Linked DNA regions of Nothobranchius furzeri. The protein of the gene in region 4 interacts with the protein of the main gene of each other region in a biochemical or structural test. Links are inferred from orthologs where the notes say so. Each region holds a gene or a part of one and is shown on either strand. Other genes may lie near its edges. The genes, in order: map3k7, tnfrsf1a, cops5 and ikbkb.

What was found.
Region 1: of the proteins of ikbkb (region 4) and map3k7, one has a biochemical effect on the other in vitro, tested with the Homo sapiens proteins (5 studies listed by BioGRID). The link is inferred for Nothobranchius furzeri from reciprocal best matches to the Homo sapiens genes IKBKB and MAP3K7.
Region 2: of the proteins of ikbkb (region 4) and tnfrsf1a, one has a biochemical effect on the other in vitro, tested with the Homo sapiens proteins (2 studies listed by BioGRID, with this or other methods). The link is inferred for Nothobranchius furzeri from reciprocal best matches to the Homo sapiens genes IKBKB and TNFRSF1A.
Region 3: of the proteins of ikbkb (region 4) and cops5, one has a biochemical effect on the other in vitro, tested with the Homo sapiens proteins (2 studies listed by BioGRID). The link is inferred for Nothobranchius furzeri from reciprocal best matches to the Homo sapiens genes IKBKB and COPS5.

Annotation. Positions count from the first base shown.
Region 1 is NC_091743.1:91,294,187-91,298,742, forward strand, and holds part of map3k7 (mitogen-activated protein kinase kinase kinase 7), read left to right. Parts: intron 1-827; coding exon 828-956; intron 957-1,740; coding exon 1,741-1,865; intron 1,866-4,556. UniProt on the Homo sapiens protein: Serine/threonine kinase which acts as an essential component of the MAP kinase signal transduction pathway. Plays an important role in the cascades of cellular responses evoked by changes in the environment.
Region 2 is NC_091745.1:73,830,519-73,835,626, forward strand, and holds the start of tnfrsf1a (tumor necrosis factor receptor superfamily member 1A), read left to right. Parts: upstream 1-1,619; 5' UTR 1,620-1,769; intron 1,770-5,108.
Region 3 is NC_091747.1:51,738,603-51,742,555, reverse strand, and holds the end of cops5 (COP9 signalosome complex subunit 5), read left to right. Parts: intron 1-344; coding exon 345-473; intron 474-750; coding exon 751-816; intron 817-974; coding exon 975-1,060; intron 1,061-1,140; coding exon 1,141-1,252; intron 1,253-1,911; coding exon 1,912-2,060; intron 2,061-2,723; coding exon 2,724-2,814; 3' UTR 2,815-2,975; downstream 2,976-3,953. UniProt on the Homo sapiens protein: Probable protease subunit of the COP9 signalosome complex (CSN), a complex involved in various cellular and developmental processes.
Region 4 is NC_091757.1:55,668,164-55,673,501, reverse strand, and holds the start of ikbkb (inhibitor of nuclear factor kappa-B kinase subunit beta), read left to right. Parts: upstream 1-1,784; 5' UTR 1,785-1,936; intron 1,937-2,810; 5' UTR 2,811-2,821; coding exon 2,822-2,926; intron 2,927-4,732; coding exon 4,733-4,827; intron 4,828-5,338.

The DNA.
Region 1 (4,556 bases), on a different chromosome or scaffold from region 4:
CCTGCGGTTGATGACATCAGAAACGGCGATCCATGCTGCAGCCTGAGCCAGTAATCCATGTATTTCCAGTACAGCACATTTGCAATAATCAGACTTTTATTTTACTTCCACAAAAAGCTGATTTTAGATGAGATATTACAGAAAACTGGAAGGTTTGCCATCAAACCTAAAAGCTGCCCCTCGTTAAGTACAAGTCAGGCAGCAGGGCTCATTGGCGACTTTCCAGTGCGGAGCGAGCGACGTGTTGGAGACTCCCGGTTTAGAAGCAGTTTTTTCTGCAAAAGGAGGATCTGCTAAATATTGAGGTGATTTATTTTTTGTGGTATTTTTTATGTATGCTCCCGCCTAATTTAGTTTAAACAATTATTGCACACTTTCTGTAAATCTTATGAACTTTGTTTCACTTCTCAATCTCAGTGTGTGCGTCTCCTGTGGGATATATGTAAGTGAAATTTTCATCCTAACCAACGATTTTCACATGAAAGTCACGAAGGCTTCCCAAACTTTTGCATCCCGTTGTCGGTGCATGAGCCGAAGGCGAACGATGCAGTTAGTTCAGCCACATCCTCTGGTGTGTTTCTGTGTAAACGTGACCATAACGCCTCTTGACCAGCCTCTGTTTGGAGAAATAGTTTACATCCTGAGGACCGATGAGCTTCCTGTGGTTGATCCAGGGGTCATGTTGCTAAACAAGAGAAACTGGCTGTAGTATAAAGGGTTAAAGCACTGATCACATGACCAGAGGCTGCTCCGAGGCCACCTACGGTGATGATTCTGGCCTAATGTGAAGGTGTTTATTGGTTGTGATGTTCTTGTTGCTGCTGCAGCCTGCTCCTGGTGGCGGGCGGCACCGTGCTGAAGATCTGTGACTTTGGGACAGCGTGTGACATCCAGACCCACATGACCAACAACAAAGGAAGTGCTGCGTGGATGGCTCCCGAGGTGTTTGAAGGCAAGTATCAGTGGCCGTTCATTTAGGTGGTTTGTGTTCTTGTTGGTTCTGTTTACTTCCATCAGTTCTCTAAGTGATCGGGGGGGTTCAGTCTTTTTCTACATTAATTGCATCTACAGCTTCAGCACAGACGCATTAATTGCTGCTCCGTCGTCAGCCTCGGTGCTCCTCTGTCTTATCGATGGTTGTCTCCAGAGTGTGGCGAGGAGATGAATGTTTAAAGCTACTGCTGTTATTTCCCCTGGGAGGCTGCAGTTTAAAATGCGTGTTCTCATTCAGCCAGCAGCCTAATGGAGTGCTAAATGATGAAACATGTTCCTGGCAAGGGGGTCGGGGGGAAAGATGAATTCATGTCTAGTCATTATTTTGTTTTTGAAGGCATGATACACGACTCCAGTGCAATTAAACAACTTACTCCTGCCCTCTCCGTGAACTCCTCGCAGCTAATTTGCATCAGCGTGAAAAGCTGTCAGAACATCCTTGCACAGCAACTTTAAAATCGGTTTGTGTTGTGCACTTTTATGTTGCATCAGAGGCCCGGCAATTAAGAAATACAAGAGCCGTTCTTCTGGACAAATTGCTCCCAAATTTTCCTCCTGCTCCCTCCTGGAAGCAAAGAGAAGATAAAAGCTGCTGCTCATTCCCAGGCACATTTCTCATTCTCATCCCAAATGTGCCACAGAGAATTCCCTTCATCAGCCATCCGTGTCAGACGGAGGTGTTTCTCCCCGTTTGAGGAGTGGGAAGGTCCTGAGTGTTTGTGTGGGTTCTTCTGTACACACAGGCAGCAATTACAGCGAGAAGTGTGACGTGTTCAGCTGGGGAATCATTCTCTGGGAGGTCATCACTCGCAGGAAACCTTTTGATGAGATTGGTGGGCCAGCTTTTCGCATTATGTGGGCTGTGCACAACGGTGAGTCACTCTGTGTGTGTGTGTGTGTGTGTGTGTGTGTGTGTGTGTGTGTGTGTGTGTGTGTGTGTGTGTGTGTGTGTGTGTGTGTGTGTGTGTGTGTGTGTGTGTGTGTGTGTGTGTTACTGAGAGACCAAAGCAGTGGTTCGTGGGGAAAATGTGTTTTCTGTAGGATGAAAGATTTCTTCATCACTTTGTTATATTTTTATTAAAACGTCTCTCTGCTCTTACGAGCCTTTGTTATTGATTCATTGTAGATAAAATCCCAGATTTCTTAGATTAAAAACATGAATTAATGTTGTGACTTTTTTATCAGAACTGCCGATGTTATCGGTCAGCCTGTAATATCAGCTGATGTCGATATCAGAACGTATCTGTATCAGTTTTCAGGCTTTTATTGACACATTTACATAACATGCACACATATTATACATCAGCATCTTCAGCTACTTTGCCTCTTTCAAAATGAGGTAAAGTGTTTGAGATGTTTTAGTTTATTTGGAACAACTTGTGAAGTAGAAATTTGCCCTGCGTAGTGAGCGTGTGCTGTCCTCGCATCACTTGGCTAACAAACCACTATAGAAAAACGAGAATCTTCACCTTCTTTAAAGATATATTATCTTCTTAGTGGTGATATACAGAAAAATACAAGAAACTAACTAGGGCTAGACGATATCTAAAATATTAATATAATTGCAAACAAGAAACAAGATGACTGTAACTTTTATATCTATAAATATACAACCAGTGAATTTCTAGAGTTAGCAGACGCTGCTAGCTTGTCTTTACATGAATTCACACACATCTGCTCAATCAGGAAACCTTTGGGTCAATGTTCCGCTTTAAACTTTGCATTTAGATTTGTGGTTTCTAATTATTTGGGGATGTTTGTATTTTAGCGAGCTTTGTTTCGCCGCTGCGTTCCCTCTGCGAGAGCATCGTGGTGGAGGAGGAGGAGAATGCGTGCATGCAGGGGCGTAGCAAGCTAAAGTGTGGCTGTTGACATCTCTCTGATATATTTATAATCCAGTTCTTATTCCACCAAAAGTAGTGCACCAGCACCAAAGAGCAGACATGAAACAGATGATGAGTATTAAACTAGTCTAGGGGGTTCTGGGTTGGACATTTTATGTTTAAAAACATCAGTCTGGTGCATTTTGAGAAATAAAGTAGAGTTACAGGCTGGTGAGATTGTACGATAACGTATCTATACATGTTCATGGTATTGATTATATATCCTGTCCTATCTTTAATCCGTTTTGAAAGAAAGTGATATTTTCTATAGCGCCTCTAAAGATAGAAACCACGAGGCGCTTCACAAAAACAAAAAACATTTAAATATAAAAAAGATTTCAAAAAATGATCAAAAAACATGTTTAAAATAAGCAAAAATAGACTATTGTGATTAAGAAAGGCAAAGAAAGAGAGAGTGAGAATAGGAAAGAACACCAACTACAGCGAAATCCTCTGATGCATCCGTGCAGCTCAGTACCACACCTGTATGATGTCACTAGTTACTAAAGAGCCAATCAGCTGGCAGAGCTGCTGGTGAACGTGTAAAACTACGTGACTCAACTTAAGGAACAAAGTAGAATCCAGCTGCTGTTGTTTATTTGTTGTTGTTTATAGAAACTAAATGTATCTGCAGGGCTTCAGGCCCAGGGCGGAGTTTTAGACCTCCGACCGAACCAATCCACACCTGTTATTAATAGTGTTGTGTATTATTTACACCAGTCAGTAATGTTTACATCCACACCTGTTATTAATAGTGTTGTGTATTATTTACACCAGTCAGTAATGTTTACATCCACACCTGTTATTAATAGTGTTGTGTGTTATTTACACCAGTCAGTAATGTTTACATCCACACCTGTTATTAATAGTGTTGTGTGTTATTTACACCAGTCAGTAATGTTTACATCCACACCTGTTATTAATAGTGTTGTGTATTATTTACACCAGTCAGTAATGTTTACATCCACACCTGTTATTAATAGTGTTGTGTGTTATTTACACCAGTCAGTAATGTTTACATCCACACCTGTTATTAATAGTGTTGTGTATTATTTACACCAGTCAGTAATGTTTACATCCACACCTGTTATTAATAGTGTTGTGTATTATTTACACCAGTCAGTAATGTTTACATCCACACCTGTTATTAATAGTGTTGTGTGTTATTTACACCAGTCAGTAATGTTTACATCCAGACCTGTTATTAATAGTGTTGTGTATTATTTACACCAGTCAGTAATGTTTACATCCACACCTGTTATTAATAGTGTTGTGTGTTATTTACACCAGTCAGTAATGTTTACATCCACACCTGTTATTAATAGTGTTGTGTATTATTTACACCAGTCAGTAATGTTTACATCCACACCTGTTATTAATAGTGTTGTGTGTTATTTACACCAGTCAGTAATGTTTACATCCACACCTGTTATTAATAGTGTTGTGTATTATTTACACCAGTCAGTAATGTTTACATCCACACCTGTTATTAATAGTGTTGTGTGTTATTTACACCAGTCAGTAATGTTTACATCCACACCTGTTATTAATAGTGTTGTGTGTTATTTACACCAGTCAGTAATGTTTACATCCACACCTGTTATTAATAGTGTTGTGTATTATTTACACCAGTCAGTAATGTTTACATCCACACCTGTTATTAATAGTGTTGTGTATTAT
Region 2 (5,108 bases), on a different chromosome or scaffold from region 4:
TATGTATGTATGTATATATATGTGTATGTTTATATATATATATATATATATATATACACACATACATATATATATGTATGTATGTATGTATATATATATGTGTATGTTTATATTATATATATATATATGTATATAATATATACATACATACATACATACATATATATATGTATGTGTGTATATATATATATATATATATATATATATATATATATATATATATATATATACACATACATATATATACACATACATATACATATATATATGTATGTATGTATGTATATATATGTGTATGTTTATATTTTGTATACATATATATATATATATATATATATATATATATATATATATATATATATATATATATATATATATATATATATATATATATATACATATATATATATACATACATATATATGTATATATGTGTATATATACACGTATATATATTATATTTCCTTCACAGCTGTAACACTTTATTGATACATAAAGAACGAGTTTGCTCAGTTGCAGTACACAACGTTGCCACAAGATGACCCACTAAATCCATTTATATTGACCTTTAATCATTCAGTGTTGATCTTACAAATAAAATGCATTGAAACTGCGATTTTTGTTTGTTTCTTCAGATTTTTATTTTGCTCGAAGAAGAAAAGATTTGAATTCATTTTAGGTTCAGAGATCCACTTTGTGGCACATTTAGAAAAATACAAATGCAATATATTGTGTTAGTAAAAGTGCTAAGCAGGTCTTTTTGGTTGATTTTATTTCCAAAAAGTAAAGATAAATCATTCAGGGGTGACCGAAAGAATGAGATCACAGGTACAAGTTGCTGAAATGAGTTTTCTCCGCATGGTGGCTGCCTGGCTGGGCTCTCCCTTAGAGATAGGGTGAGAACCTCGGTCATCTGGGAGGGGCTCGGAGTAGACCTGCTGCTCCTCCACATTGAGAGGAGTCAGTTCAGGCGGCTCGGGCATCTAGTTCCTTGGTGAGGTTTTCTGAGCACGTCCAACCGAGAGGAGACCTAAGGGAAGACCCAGGACACGCTGGAGGGACTATGTCTCTCAGCTGGTCAGGGAACGCCTTGGGATTCCCCCGGAGGAGCTGGCCCAAGGGGAAAGGGAAGTTTGAACCATGCACCCTGTTTAGGCTGCTGCTCCCACAGCCTGACCCTGAAAAGCTGCTGAAAATGAATGGATGGATGGGAAGATAAATCATTTTTAGGAAAGGTTTGTAAAGCCACTGCATTTAGATCTATAAAAGAAAGAAAAAGATTAAGATCAGCAGCATGAATTTGGAGTTGCATAATGCAGCTTGAGGGCATTTCACTGAAGAGGTCAGATCTCAGCAGAGGGTAGAAAATAAAGTTGTCAATATAAAGATGGACAGAAGAAGGCAGAATTACAGGATTTCAGTTTTTCCACATTAAAGATCATAAAATGCCACAAATACAAAAAAAAAACCATCAAACAATAAAACACTTCACTATAAACGAGTCTCCAGCCTGCAGCCTATTGCTCATTTAAACAGGTTGGTTTTCTTCAGGTTCCTTGCCCAACTGCCACTATTCCTTGAAACGCGTCGGTGACGCATCTATTTCCCGTTTGAGTCCGCCTTCTTCTATCCAGGCAGCGGCTGCGGCGCCGACAGCGCGCTGGCTCTCCGGGAACACAAATAAAGCACTATTTTAAATCCTACAGCTTCTAGCCGATGTTCGGAGCGAGAAGACAGGTGAAAGCGTCCCTGTGAGCGCAGCTGTTCAGGTAAATAACTGTAAAACACGCGCGTAGGTCTGTGGGAAGAGCAGACTCATCTCAGACCGGGGGGGTGGGGGGAGGCATATGTGGTGCCGAACCGAAACTATGAGTTCAGAAAGAAAAACAATGTCTTGAGCAGATTTAGATTCGACTAATAATTTAGTTTGTTTATTCGTCCGCAGGAGAGATTTGAGTCTCGGGGATTTTAAAGTGAAACGTCAGCCTGGATCAGGGGTTTAGTTCCAGCGCGACAGGGAAGTGAAGTTTGCCAAAGTGGCGCAGAAAAATGTGACTGACGCAAAAAAAAATAATCGCAAACGTTTTAGCAAATGCGTTTAAATGATGCATCTTAATGCCTCCTGTGTAGTTAGGGGAATAAATCCAGTTTGTTTGTTACATTATTTTTGTTTTATCTGATAAGCCTCTTAGGGGAAAACAAATCTCACCTCAACCGGATGTTTCCGGAAACTGAACCATAAATAATTAAATAAAAGAATTAGAGGGGAAAATGACAATAAACTCAACAAAAATGATCACATTTTTCATTATTTTTTATTTCTATAAAGTCACGTTGTTTGTGAACGGATGGTGTCACTTGAGTAACATCTTTTGTCAGAATATTTGACATCATGCATGCAAATACACGTTTAAATAGTGATTTTAACTGATTGTAGCTCTTAAGCACTCCCTTTGCTTTCACTTGTAACTGTAAATGCTTGCTTGAATGTTCTTATTTCTGTTTTTATCTCTGTGCAGTGACCTTGGGTTTTAGGCACCCTAGAATAACATTTATTATTATTATGTTAAACCCAGAATGAGTCGATGATATCACCTGATTTGCTTCAAAACAGGAAAATGGTTTCGTGTGTATTTAATATTCAAATAAAATCCTTAGTAACCGAGAACCTCCTCTTTTGATATAATCGAGGTGGTAAACTGGGTGCTATTCTTTTGAATGTCCAGTTTGGCTTTGTCTCAGAGCCAAAGTACATTCATTACATTCCAGCACAGTTTGTGTTCAATCAAACGTCCAGTGAGCAGGTCAGAGGTCAGCAGCAACAGGTTAAACTGATAAAACCAAAACTAGAATCATAGATAACTTTAAAGTCAAACCCTAAAGCCTTTTTGTAAAAGAAAACCCCCAAACTAGTCACAGTTATTAGGTACGCCTTACTAGTAAACGGGTTGGGCCTCATTTTGCCTTCAGAACCTTCTTAAATGTTCATGTCAGAGATTGAATTTTTGGAAAGATCCCTCAGAGGTTCTGGTCCATATTATCGTGACATCGTCACAAAGTTAGATCCTCCTGTTCTCCCACATCCTGAAGGTTCTGGACTGGAGTGAGATCAGGTGACTGCAGAGGCCGTCAGAGTCCAGTGAACTCGGTCAGAGGTGATCTAAGCTTGCTGACATGGTGCATTATCCTGCTGGTAGTAGACATCAGAAAATGGGTCCATGTAATAAAAGATGGACAGCAACAATACTCAATTGGTGCTAATAAGTTGGACAAGAACATCTCCACATGATTACACCAGCAGCAGATGGATCCATGTTTTTATGATGACACCAAATTCTGACCCTAGCATCTGAATGTTGCAGCAGACATCCAGACTCATCAGACTTGGGGAAACATTTTTCCCGTCTCCTATCGTTGAATAGATCCTGTGATATGTGTAGCTACAGTTTCCTGTTTTTACCTGACAGGTGTGACACCCGCTGTGGTTCAAGGTTCAACATGTTGTTTACTGACCTTTGTTGAAACTAGTGACCATTTGATCTTCTTTGATAACCTCAAACCAGTCTGCCCTTCCCCTTTGACCTCTGACATCAATGAGACTTGTTCAACCACACAGCTGCTGCTCACTGGGATTATCTGTTTTTTAGGGCTAGGGGTAAACGGTTATTTTTAAAACGATTATTCTGACGATTATTTTATCGAATAGTCAACTATTCTAATGACTATTTAGACAATTAATCTAATGATTAAATTTCTATTGCACAGTTAATAAAAACAAAAAAAATCTAATAAATTCCTCAAAAAATTGATAAGTTGTTACTGTAAGAGAATAAACACTACAGGCCTTCCATTTTGTATAACACTGCTTTTATTGTGTTGCGATTGGTTGTGTTCTGGTGACGTGTAGAACGTGGGAGTGCAGGCTGCTGCCTGAGAGGTGGTTGGAGATGGAGTGTCTCCATGCTGCTTTGTTTTGGTCACTTATGTGCGTGAGGCGAGTGGTGTTACAACCCTTCCTGGGGAGTTTGGCTTGTGTGCAAAAAGGAAGGGACAATAACACGGGATTTAAAAGTTAAAATGATGATCAGATTTATTTACAACTACAAAAAAAAAACATAAATCTTTCCATCCACCGGTTGGGAATAATAAAACTTAATTCTGCCTGTGGGGGATTAAAACAAAGTACAAATAAGTAGGGATGTCCCACTGGGCAAAGATTACTGGGTTCTGGACCAAAATAAGAATCTCCAAAGGTCCAAACTCTAAACTGGGCGGTTAAACCAAACTCGAGGTGATATTTTAAACTAAACCGAAAACCCACAACACTCTAAATGGAATAAAAGGGAGATCTGCACCACAAAAAAGATGAACTCTAAACCAAAACGTAACAGCTTATCCAAACGCAAGAAGCTGTTAGCGAAAGTGCTAACAGTAGCTTTACCAACGTTAAGTTCAAGTTACCAAGTTTAAATAAACCAAAAACACCCAGCAGCAAACAGACCAGCACGGAGGAGAGACTGCTACCACAAAAACAGCTCTCCTAATGTCTGAAAGAAGCTCCTTTATGAAGGGAGAAACGCTCCCGGTGATTTTCTACATCTGCGATAGAGACGAAGCAGCGCATCTGACCCCGGAAGTTGTTGTCCGTTGCCGGGAGACGAAGGCGGGCAAAACAGGAAAGGAATACGTTGTTCCGGGTCTTCTGTATTTGGTGGAGATGTTAGTGAAGGCGGAGAAGAGGGCGAACTGGAGGAAAAACAGGCAGATTCCACCTCTATTTACAAACTCCTGGGGATGCAACAAGTGGGCGTGGTGCGTCGACTACCGGATCTGACGTCGACAAATTTTTAGAATCGAGACATCTACATCATCGAGGCTTCGCTACAGCCCTACTGTTTTTCTCCTAGAAATGGTTGTGGGGGGAAATCCATGTAGACCAGCAGAATCATGAAAACAAGGGACCACATTTCTCCAGTGCTGGATTCTCTTCGCTGGCTCCCAGTCTCATACCGGGCACAGTCTAAAATTCTGCTTTTTGTGTCTTAAGATTTTCCAAGGCAGTGCCCCCACCTACTTAGTGGAGCTCTTAATAAAGCATGTTCCCTCAA
Region 3 (3,953 bases), on a different chromosome or scaffold from region 4:
CAATTGTACAGAAGCTCTACGATGCACATTACAAATGCATTGTGTTGGAGTTGGAGCTGGGTGCTGAATTGCTCTGTGTTTTTGCCGTGGTGAATTTCATGCTGGAGTAATAAAACAAAACGTGTGCATCAACTGTTTCTACTACTCCACTAGGGTGTGATAAATGATTTATTTTTCCCTTTTTCCATCGTTTTGAACCGTTTTTTAGGATAAATCTGTTGTTTCTCTAGAAATAATCTTCAGTTTGAAACAGTTTGGAGTATTATATTAACTAGTAGGGAAGCAGTCCTTTTATAAAAATGTTTGTGTCGTATTAAATCTGTACCATCGGTCTCATCTGGTAGGTTGGTCGGTTGGAGAACGCCATTGGCTGGTACCACAGTCACCCCGGCTACGGATGCTGGCTCTCCGGCATAGACGTCAGCACTCAGATGCTCAACCAGCAGTTTCAGGAACCTTTTGTTGCAGTTGTGGTGAGGCAGGAAACGCCACTTTTTTGTTTCTTCAAACAAATAAACATGAATGTTTATGTCACTGAGAAGATGTATGAGTTGTAGCTTTCTGTGTTGTGTTGATGCAAACATGGACACTTCATTTGGTGCAGCGGCTCTTGGCTGCCAGCGGCATCACATAATTAAGTGTGTGTGTTCTGTGCTGTGACAGCTCCGGTGGTCAGGTTTGAGTGGTCCCCGGAGGCTTTCGTGACCTCTGACCCTGTTTTCCTGCTCTACTGTATCTCTCTCTCCACAGATCGACCCAACCCGGACTATTTCCGCAGGGAAAGTCAACCTCGGTGCCTTTAGAACATACCCAAAGGTAGAGGAAAAGAGTCGGGCAAATTATGTGTTTAACGTTTTTGGGACACAAAACACGGGTGTGCTGTTACAATAAGTTTCAATTAATGCTAATCGTTTTAAATTTAAATCTGTTCACTTTGGTTTTTAATTTAAAAAGTCTTTTCTCTTCACTTTCAGGGTTACAAGCCTCCAGACGAGGGACCGTCAGAGTACCAGACAATTCCTCTGAACAAGATTGAAGATTTTGGCGTCCACTGTAAACAGTGAGGAGCTGTAGAATAAAATCATTGCATTAAGGTCACTTTAACTTTGTGAAACTCCTTATTATTTATTTCTTTTGTAGGTATTACGCCTTGGAGGTAACCTACTTTAAGTCATCCCTTGACAGAAAACTCCTGGAGCTCCTCTGGAACAAATACTGGGTTAATACCTTAAGTTCCTCCAGCCTCCTGACGGTATGTAAACAAGCTCAAAAATCAAAATGTGCACTAATTGTTTGGCATTTTGATTTATGGTTAATTATTACACTATAACTCATTCAGACATGCGCTCAGCAGCTTGAGATGTTGTGATTTATTGCTGCAGAATAGCTAAGCCTCCTTGTTTATTAGTGTTAGTAATAAGCTTAATGTGGACTTTTGTAACGAAGATGAGTAGGAAAGTTAGGCGCTCTCCCGAGACTGATGTGAATTTGCATGGTGGCTCTGTCCTGAACGGGAATAAATATGTCAGGCTTGAACAAACGGTGAGTTTTGGGGGATTCTGGGTGAGGATGAATTGACTAGATGTCAGGAACGAGCTGCTCCACGGGCGACAGGCTTTGTCAGGAGCTATAGTCACCCTGCAAGGTCCCCGTGTCACTATTAAACGCAGCCTCACCTTAAGTCAACATTTCAGTCATTCACCACCAAAGTGTCCCAGCAGCCTGTCGGACAGATTTGTTAGCCTCCTGCAAAAAAAAAAAAAATCCTATGTAGAAAAATCTTTTGCTGGCAAATTGTGCATGAATTGGTTTCTGTGTGTGTGTGTGTGTGTGTGTGTGTGTGTGTGTGTGTGTGTGTGTGTGTGTGCGCATGTGTGCGTGCGTGCGCGCGCGTGTGTGTGTGATGATCAGAACTCGGACTACACCACAGGCCAGGTGTTTGACCTGTCGGAGAAGCTGGAGCAGTCCGAGGCCCAGCTTGGCAGAGGCAGCTTCATGCTCGGCTTAGACACACACGACAGGAAGTCCGAGGACAAACTGGCCAAAGCGACACGAGACAGGTAGCTGGATAGGGCTAGACAGTTCAAATCAAATGTTAACTAGTTTATTTTGTCATCACATGGATCATTTACATGGGCTCTTCAAGGTTCGTGGTTCATAGGATCACATTGATTGATTTTATTATTTTAACTGTGACTTCTGGCATTAGTCCACTGAAGTCTTTTTCACAGAATGACATAAAATCTGTTATTTACTTTTGTAAACTTTCAGATTTTAATTAAAGCCCTTTTTAGGCTTATTAATATTATCTATTATTTATGAACCATTTAAGTCACAATTCTGATTAAATCAACAGTTCAATTTTTTCTAATTCTAGACAAAAATCAGTTTTTGAAGCAAATGGTTTTTTATTTATATTGGGCCATACTCAGATTAAAAATATGCATTTGACACTTAATTAAATTAAGCACATAATTCAGATTTTTCATTAGAACTGTATTATTGTCTAATGTACCTTTCTTTATTTTTGTGTCAAAAATTTGTTTCTTTGCTTTTTTCCACAGAATTAATTATCAACAAAATATCAGGAGAAAAATTCAGACTTTAAAATTCAAAACAAACTTTACTGAAGCTCTGTTTTGTCTTTATAATGTTTTCTAACACCAGCAGAGATGTTTTATCTCTGTGTCGCACTAATTTTTTGTTTTTCTGTTTCTTTTTAGCTGCAAGACGACCATAGAGGCGATTCACGGTCTGATGTCTCAAGTCATAAAGGATAAGCTCTTTAATCAGATCAACACTTCCTCCAATTAAAGCTCCACCCGGAGCCAATGTGTTAGTTTTACATGGGATGTCTTTACTGTGCATGCATCCACTGTTTAACTCTGCACCATTTCTCTTTGAAGTGATTTTTGTTTGTCCGAGAAGTGGCCAAGATCGCGACAATGCAAGCAAAAAATAAAATATTAAGTGCAGATTGTGTCAGTGATTCATAATTTTTATTTGTTCATATGTTTTTTTTTGTTGTTGCAGGCTCAGCTCACTATCCAAAATGAATTAGATGGATTTTATTATTGTTTCTTTATAAGATTTTGCCTTTGAACAGTTATTTTTCCTCACATTTCTCTGCAGCTGAACATTTAAATAACACACTGTGGTCACATTTATGTCCTAGCCCTGCTGCAGGCGATCATTGCTTGTCATAGCATTACATAGTGGAACAACAAACTCAACCTCCTGCACAGGCTCAGCGGGAATCTGCTGCCATGAGTGGGTTGTCGCTGGCGTCACTTTCCCGTGCAGCTCGGCGGGCGGCGTGCTGGCAGAGTGGTTGGGGAGGCAGGTTGCTGCGAGGCTGTGATGCAGCACAGAGACAGAAGCCTCAGACACAGAAGTCCATTCACCCAACGTGTCTGCTCTCCATCGAAGCAGACACTCACCGAGTCTGCCTTTTATTCTAACTGACAGCTGCTCTGGTCTGGCTTTGTGTCATGTCTTGTTTTTTTGGTATTGTAATGGCTAAACGTATATTTTTGGTGTCATGTCCTGCAGAGTAGAGAATCCCTGTGGGACCGGTTACATGCCTGTGTTTTCTCACGCACATGGGCCTTTGGCACCAATTCTTATAATGATTTTCTTCTACCATTATAGGAAATGTCGTAAAAATGGAGCGGTTTCAATTTAATTCTGCAGAAGTGAGAAATAATTTAAATATAGAAATAGTTTTAAAGGCAATCTAGTGAAAAGCTTGTGTTTTTGCCAGATATCTAAAGTAATTTCATGGCAGAGAGTCACCCTTTTGAATAACTATGTGAAACATGCACAGCTGAAAGATTTGCTTAATGTTTAAGTGTTTCATGGGGATTTTACATTTGTTGGAACACATTGAACTTGTTAAATATGGAAATTTGATTATCACCAGATGGAGTTTTGTGTGTGTGTGTGTGTGTGTG
Region 4 (5,338 bases):
CACTGTATTGGAGCAGGGGGAAGGAGACTTGGGGTCTTAGCACGCCTCTGTTGTCACTTGGCTTCCCGGGGCTGGAGGCTAGGAGGGGGATCTGGCCGACTGGCTGGGGTCTGGGGTGGTGGGTCGCTTTGCTCGGCGTTGGGCGGGGATCTGCTCATCAGCACCCCAGCAGAAAGGGTTGAACTCTGGGAACCGGTGATGGTTGTACCCAATGTGCAGCAGTACCGGGACCAGAGTGAATAGGGTGTGTATGGGGAGCATGAGTGGGTGTCCGGCGTGCATTTTTGTAAGTCTTTGGTTGTATGTGTATGTGTGAGCATGAGGGAGGGAGTGTGTGACTGTGTTTGTGTATGACTGTATATGTCAGGTGGGGCCTTTGACTCCTCCCCTCTCCAGGGACTTCTTTTGCTGCTATACATCTTCGCCTCCCCTCCCCCTGTCACACTTGGTGTGGGGTGTGGTGCCTTGGTCTGCATGATTGATTTTTGGCATCTGCCTGATTAATCTCTGTGGCTGCCTGCGGGATCTGAGTCCCTGGGCTCTGTTAGGTCCCCAGCGGGGGTGGTCGCCCCTGGGTCCCAAGTCGCTGGGTTCCAGGCTCGTCCGGCTTGGGGGTGGGAGGCTGTGGGCGGGCCTGTGGGCTTGCCGCTGATATCCCCCGGGACTCTGCCGGCTGCTGGTTGTAGCCCCCCAGAGTGATCTTCTGCGGCTCTTGAGGGGGGGCAGGGGATTTTCTGGTTGCAGTCTCCCTGGGTTCCCTGCGCTCTGGGGCAGCTCCTGGATCTCTGAGACTTGGAGCTCCTTCCATCTCCTACACATCTTTTGGGGGCAGATCTGTGGCCCCTCACACTCTCTACTGGACGCTCCTATAGAGAAACCTTACATAAACAAGCGCATGTACACTAGGTGCTCACATGGTGCTCTCTAAAGCATGGACTTGGGCACGTTCAACACTTGTCTTAAGGCTGTGGTTGGCACTTAATGCACTGTGATTTATTATCATTTGTTCAGTAAAACAATGTTGATTTTATATTTCCTCATCAGGTTGACACAGTGATAGCTTGCTCCTGTTGTATTGTTGTTGTGCCCCTTTTCTTTTTCTCTCCTTCTGCAGGTGTAGAAGCAGACTCTTGTTCATCATTGATTAGTTGATTTTTTAAGGCTTGTCACCAGCATTCAGACATTAATTCTGTTTGCTTCACAGCCAGACAGGACACGAGGAAACAAAAAAAAAGAACCGAAACCAAAATCCCGCTGTGCATTTGTCTTTAACACTGAAACAGCTGAAACGTCTCCCAATCTTTAGTGTCTCCAGGAGTGATGCATCACAAAATAAAACTTACCAGCTGTGTTCATGATCTAAAACGTGCAGGAAACGTGCTGGAGCCGGACAGCAGCGTCAGGTATGTGAGCTCAATGTTTTCCAAGTCCAACAGACCGATATGTGTACCGTTATAATAACTGTGTAACACCTGTTAACCGGCAACTGTGAAGTTGTTAGTGCGATATTCTGGCCACAGGGGGCGTTATTTCATTAATCCTGTAAAAAGGGTCATTTTAGCGCACAAGAAAATTATTTAAAAATGTAAAAAAGTTTGTAAACGCGTGGATTTTCATGTTGTGACCTCCAAAACACTGACTGGCGCAAACTGAAAGGCTACTATCAAACATTCCCTACCCTCATCTATCAGTTTGAAGTCTGTGAGCTGGATTTGAAGATTTGACCCGAGAAGTCAGCCCGCGCGGTGGGCGGGGTTTATGTCTCATCAGGTTAACAGGAAATATGAGTATCAGGAAGTGGACAGCCTGGGAGATGTGTTGTCTCGCCTAAATAAGCAGACAAAGCAGTTTAACTCGGTTAAAAGCTCCATACACGCTTTTGTTTAAAGAAAATCAAGCGTGAGAGCGACTTAAACGCGGTTAAAGACGTTTCAAGGTAAGACCGAAGCGGACTGATGCTCACGTGCCTGAACATGAACCGCAAACATGTTGTAGTAGGTCGTAATAACAAGTATCTCAAAAGAGAAAACCTAGTTTAGTTTTATTCTGTTGCCAAGCAGAGAAACGGGTCAATGTGCAGAGTAAAGCTTAAAGTCTGAAAAGTCCTTTAATGCAACAGCAGACCTCATTAAAACGCTGCAACACAAACAAAACGCTGTTTTCTCATAAAACTAGACGCTTACATTAAATCTGCGGGTTTAACTGCAGCTTGAGAAACATTTAACACCAACTTGTAGAGTTTACGTACATTTAAGTGTCGCTGTGGAAAACCTGCTTTTATAAAAACGAAACAAAATTGATTATTTCCTATCTCTAACACGTGGTTATTAGTCCTCAAAACATCCGTTTTACTTACATGCAACTTTCAGAAGTACTTACTCAAATCATTTTATTTTTAGTCTAAGAACAGATTATATTTAGACTTCCATTTAAAATTGCTTTATAACAAATATAGAAACTTATAACAGCATAGAGACGGTCAGGTCCTACTTGTGACATCTGCTCTTCTCATGGAGTCCCACAGGGTTCAGTTCTAGGCTCCCTTGCTTTTCTCTCTACTTCCTCCCACTTACCTGGACCTATTTCACCCATTTGAGCCTGACTCCACTGGTAATCTGTTAATTTTAGGGTAATTCTTGGAATATTCTGTGCATTGCCAATTCAACATCATTCTGTACATTTAATAATTCATTTACTGCGTAATGGGTGACTGAGATTACTTCAGGGCATTTTCTCAGGGCTAACCTCTGATAATGAGCTCTAAGAGAGTTCTACTTAATTAATTTATTTGTTTATTTATTTATTTGCAGGTGAGGAGACCATGAATCGAGTCCCTCTGCAGCAGCCTCAAAACTGTGGGCCTTGGGAGCTGAAAGAGAGACTTGGCACAGGAGGCTTTGGGAATGTCACCAGATGGCAAAATAAGGTGCAATTTAAAAAAATCTTGATGAAAATAACTTTTGTTATGGGGGGAAAAAATCAACAAGGGTTATTTATCTTGAAAATGGATGGTTAAACTTGGATTTTCTTTAGAAAAGCATGACAAAGAATCACTTTTTTGATATTATTTCAAATTTAAAAAGCCTAATGTGTCTTTATCTTTAAAACATACAGTTTTCTAAAATTCCAGACAAATAAATGTCTTTGATTATGCTTCAGCATCTCTTTACTGGATAATGTTAAAACTCTTTCGTTACTTTTTCTTGTCTAACAAAATGAGGTCGGTGTCATAAATCTCGAGTGTTTGTTTATTTATGCTAAAATTATGCTAAAAACTTGTTATTTTAGATTTCTGCCTGCAGTATTGCAGCAAGACTCTCAACACTGCTAACTTATGGTATTATAAGTGGAGATTTATTGATGTTTCTGAGCAGGATTTGTTTGCAAGAGAAGACATGGTGTGTACACAAACGTGCTCTAAGATGATGTTGACCTAGTTTGTGCTTTTGGGTTTTTTTTACCTGAGAAATAAATACATCATACAAGGAAATTCATGATGTCTGATTAAGTCACAGCATGACAAGGTGAAAGGACAGTACGGGAATATAAACACTCCCTGTTAGTTCCTCTTCCTCGCAGCTGCACTCGTATTACTCACCCTCACTTTCGGGACGACCTCAGAGCCATGCAGGCAGCAGCCTAGTCTGGATGTAACACAGGATGAGGAACTCATCATTTACTTTTTTGTAAAAACAAAATTTTCATGCACATTTAAAAAAATATTATAATCAGTTCACATCAACACAACATAGTAATCATTGAAACTGTGTTAAGGATTTTGTGGTCCTCTTCTGCACCGCTGCAGTCTGGATTTTAGGAGGGGATGGGGAAAATGCTTTACTGATGAAGACGCCCTGGCACCACGGCTGACATGAATTAACTTCCTTCTTCCTGCGTTTATGACAATGCTGTGGGTTACAATTAGGTCAGGGTGGTTTGGGATTTCATCAAGAGAGGAAAGAGGGGTGGTGCCGTTTCCTTGATGAGAAACAGGTTGCGGGCTTTGTCTTTTTTTAGAGAGAGGATATTTTTTTTCTGTTCTCTGGACTGTTAACTGCTAACCTTTTTGACTTTGCCTTTTATCGATTTGTTGAATCTGAAAATTAACGTCTACATTTCTTTGTTTGATTTACTGTTTGTTTGCTGTTCTTGCTTCCGTAAAGCACTTTAAAGAGCAAGTCACCCCCAAATCAACTTTTTTTTCTGATAAACTATATAAATGCTTGTCTAATCGTGCTGCAGACACGTGTCATCAATAGTTTAGAACTTTAGTGCATTTTAGTTAAAATTTAAATTTTCTGCCTAAAACTGTCAGTGTTGTGCCGTTGTCAGGTCAAAACTGCACTGCATTTGAATTTAAATCTGCCACCGCTATTGGCTAAGAGGTACCCTAGAACGTTAGCTGGTAGTTTAAATTTAAACCTGACATTTTGTTATTAACCAGGATAGAGAATGCCCGTTTGACTTTTTTTTCCCATTGATTTGTTCCAAGGTGAAGTTAAATAATTTACCAACATTAAAAAAAAGTTCATTCCACAGTATGAATGTAAATGCTGGACTTTGTGTGTTTTCCTGATTTTGGTTACTATTGTTATCACTGCTATTGTTTTTATGATGTTTTTATTGGTTTGAGGTATTTGCCCTGATTTTACTCATGTTGTACAGCGCTTTGTGATTTATATCTGTGAGAGGCGCTATATAAATAAACTTTACTAACTTACTTACTTTTTAGGACACAGAGGAGCAGATCGCTATAAAGCAGTGTCGTCAGGAGCTGAGTGACAGAAACAAAGAGCGATGGTGTCTGGAGATCCAGATCATGAACAGGTCAGTTTCACCGCTGCATTAAATGAATGGAGGGTTGTTGTTTTTCCTCTCCTAAGCTTTTATCCCTAGTTTCTGCTTTCAGCCAATAAAGTCTGTGTTTGTGTTGTTTACTTGCAAATCTCACCAACTATTTCACCTCAGCTGTACGGGCTATTTATGAACACGTTTCAGGACAGGAATAAAAAACAACAAATGTGGATTCTCCACTCCTAGAGCCTAACATTGATGCCCGTGCTTTTCTATTAGAATACATCTGTTATACTGTGGGTGTAAAACGAAAAACTCTGATCCATCTAACAGAAAATCCTCGGACCCGTCAGATTCTGTCAGGAAGTTCAGTCGTAAAGCGATTTTACTCCAAGTTTAAATTTATTCTGCTGCAGCTGCGATGCTCATCAAGGGTTTGGAAACTGCTGAGTTAATTAATTAATTTCCACATAAATAATCTCCGTATCCGTCTGGCCGAAAGCTCAGGAGATCAGAGTTAAAGTGGCTGAACGACTCGATGTAA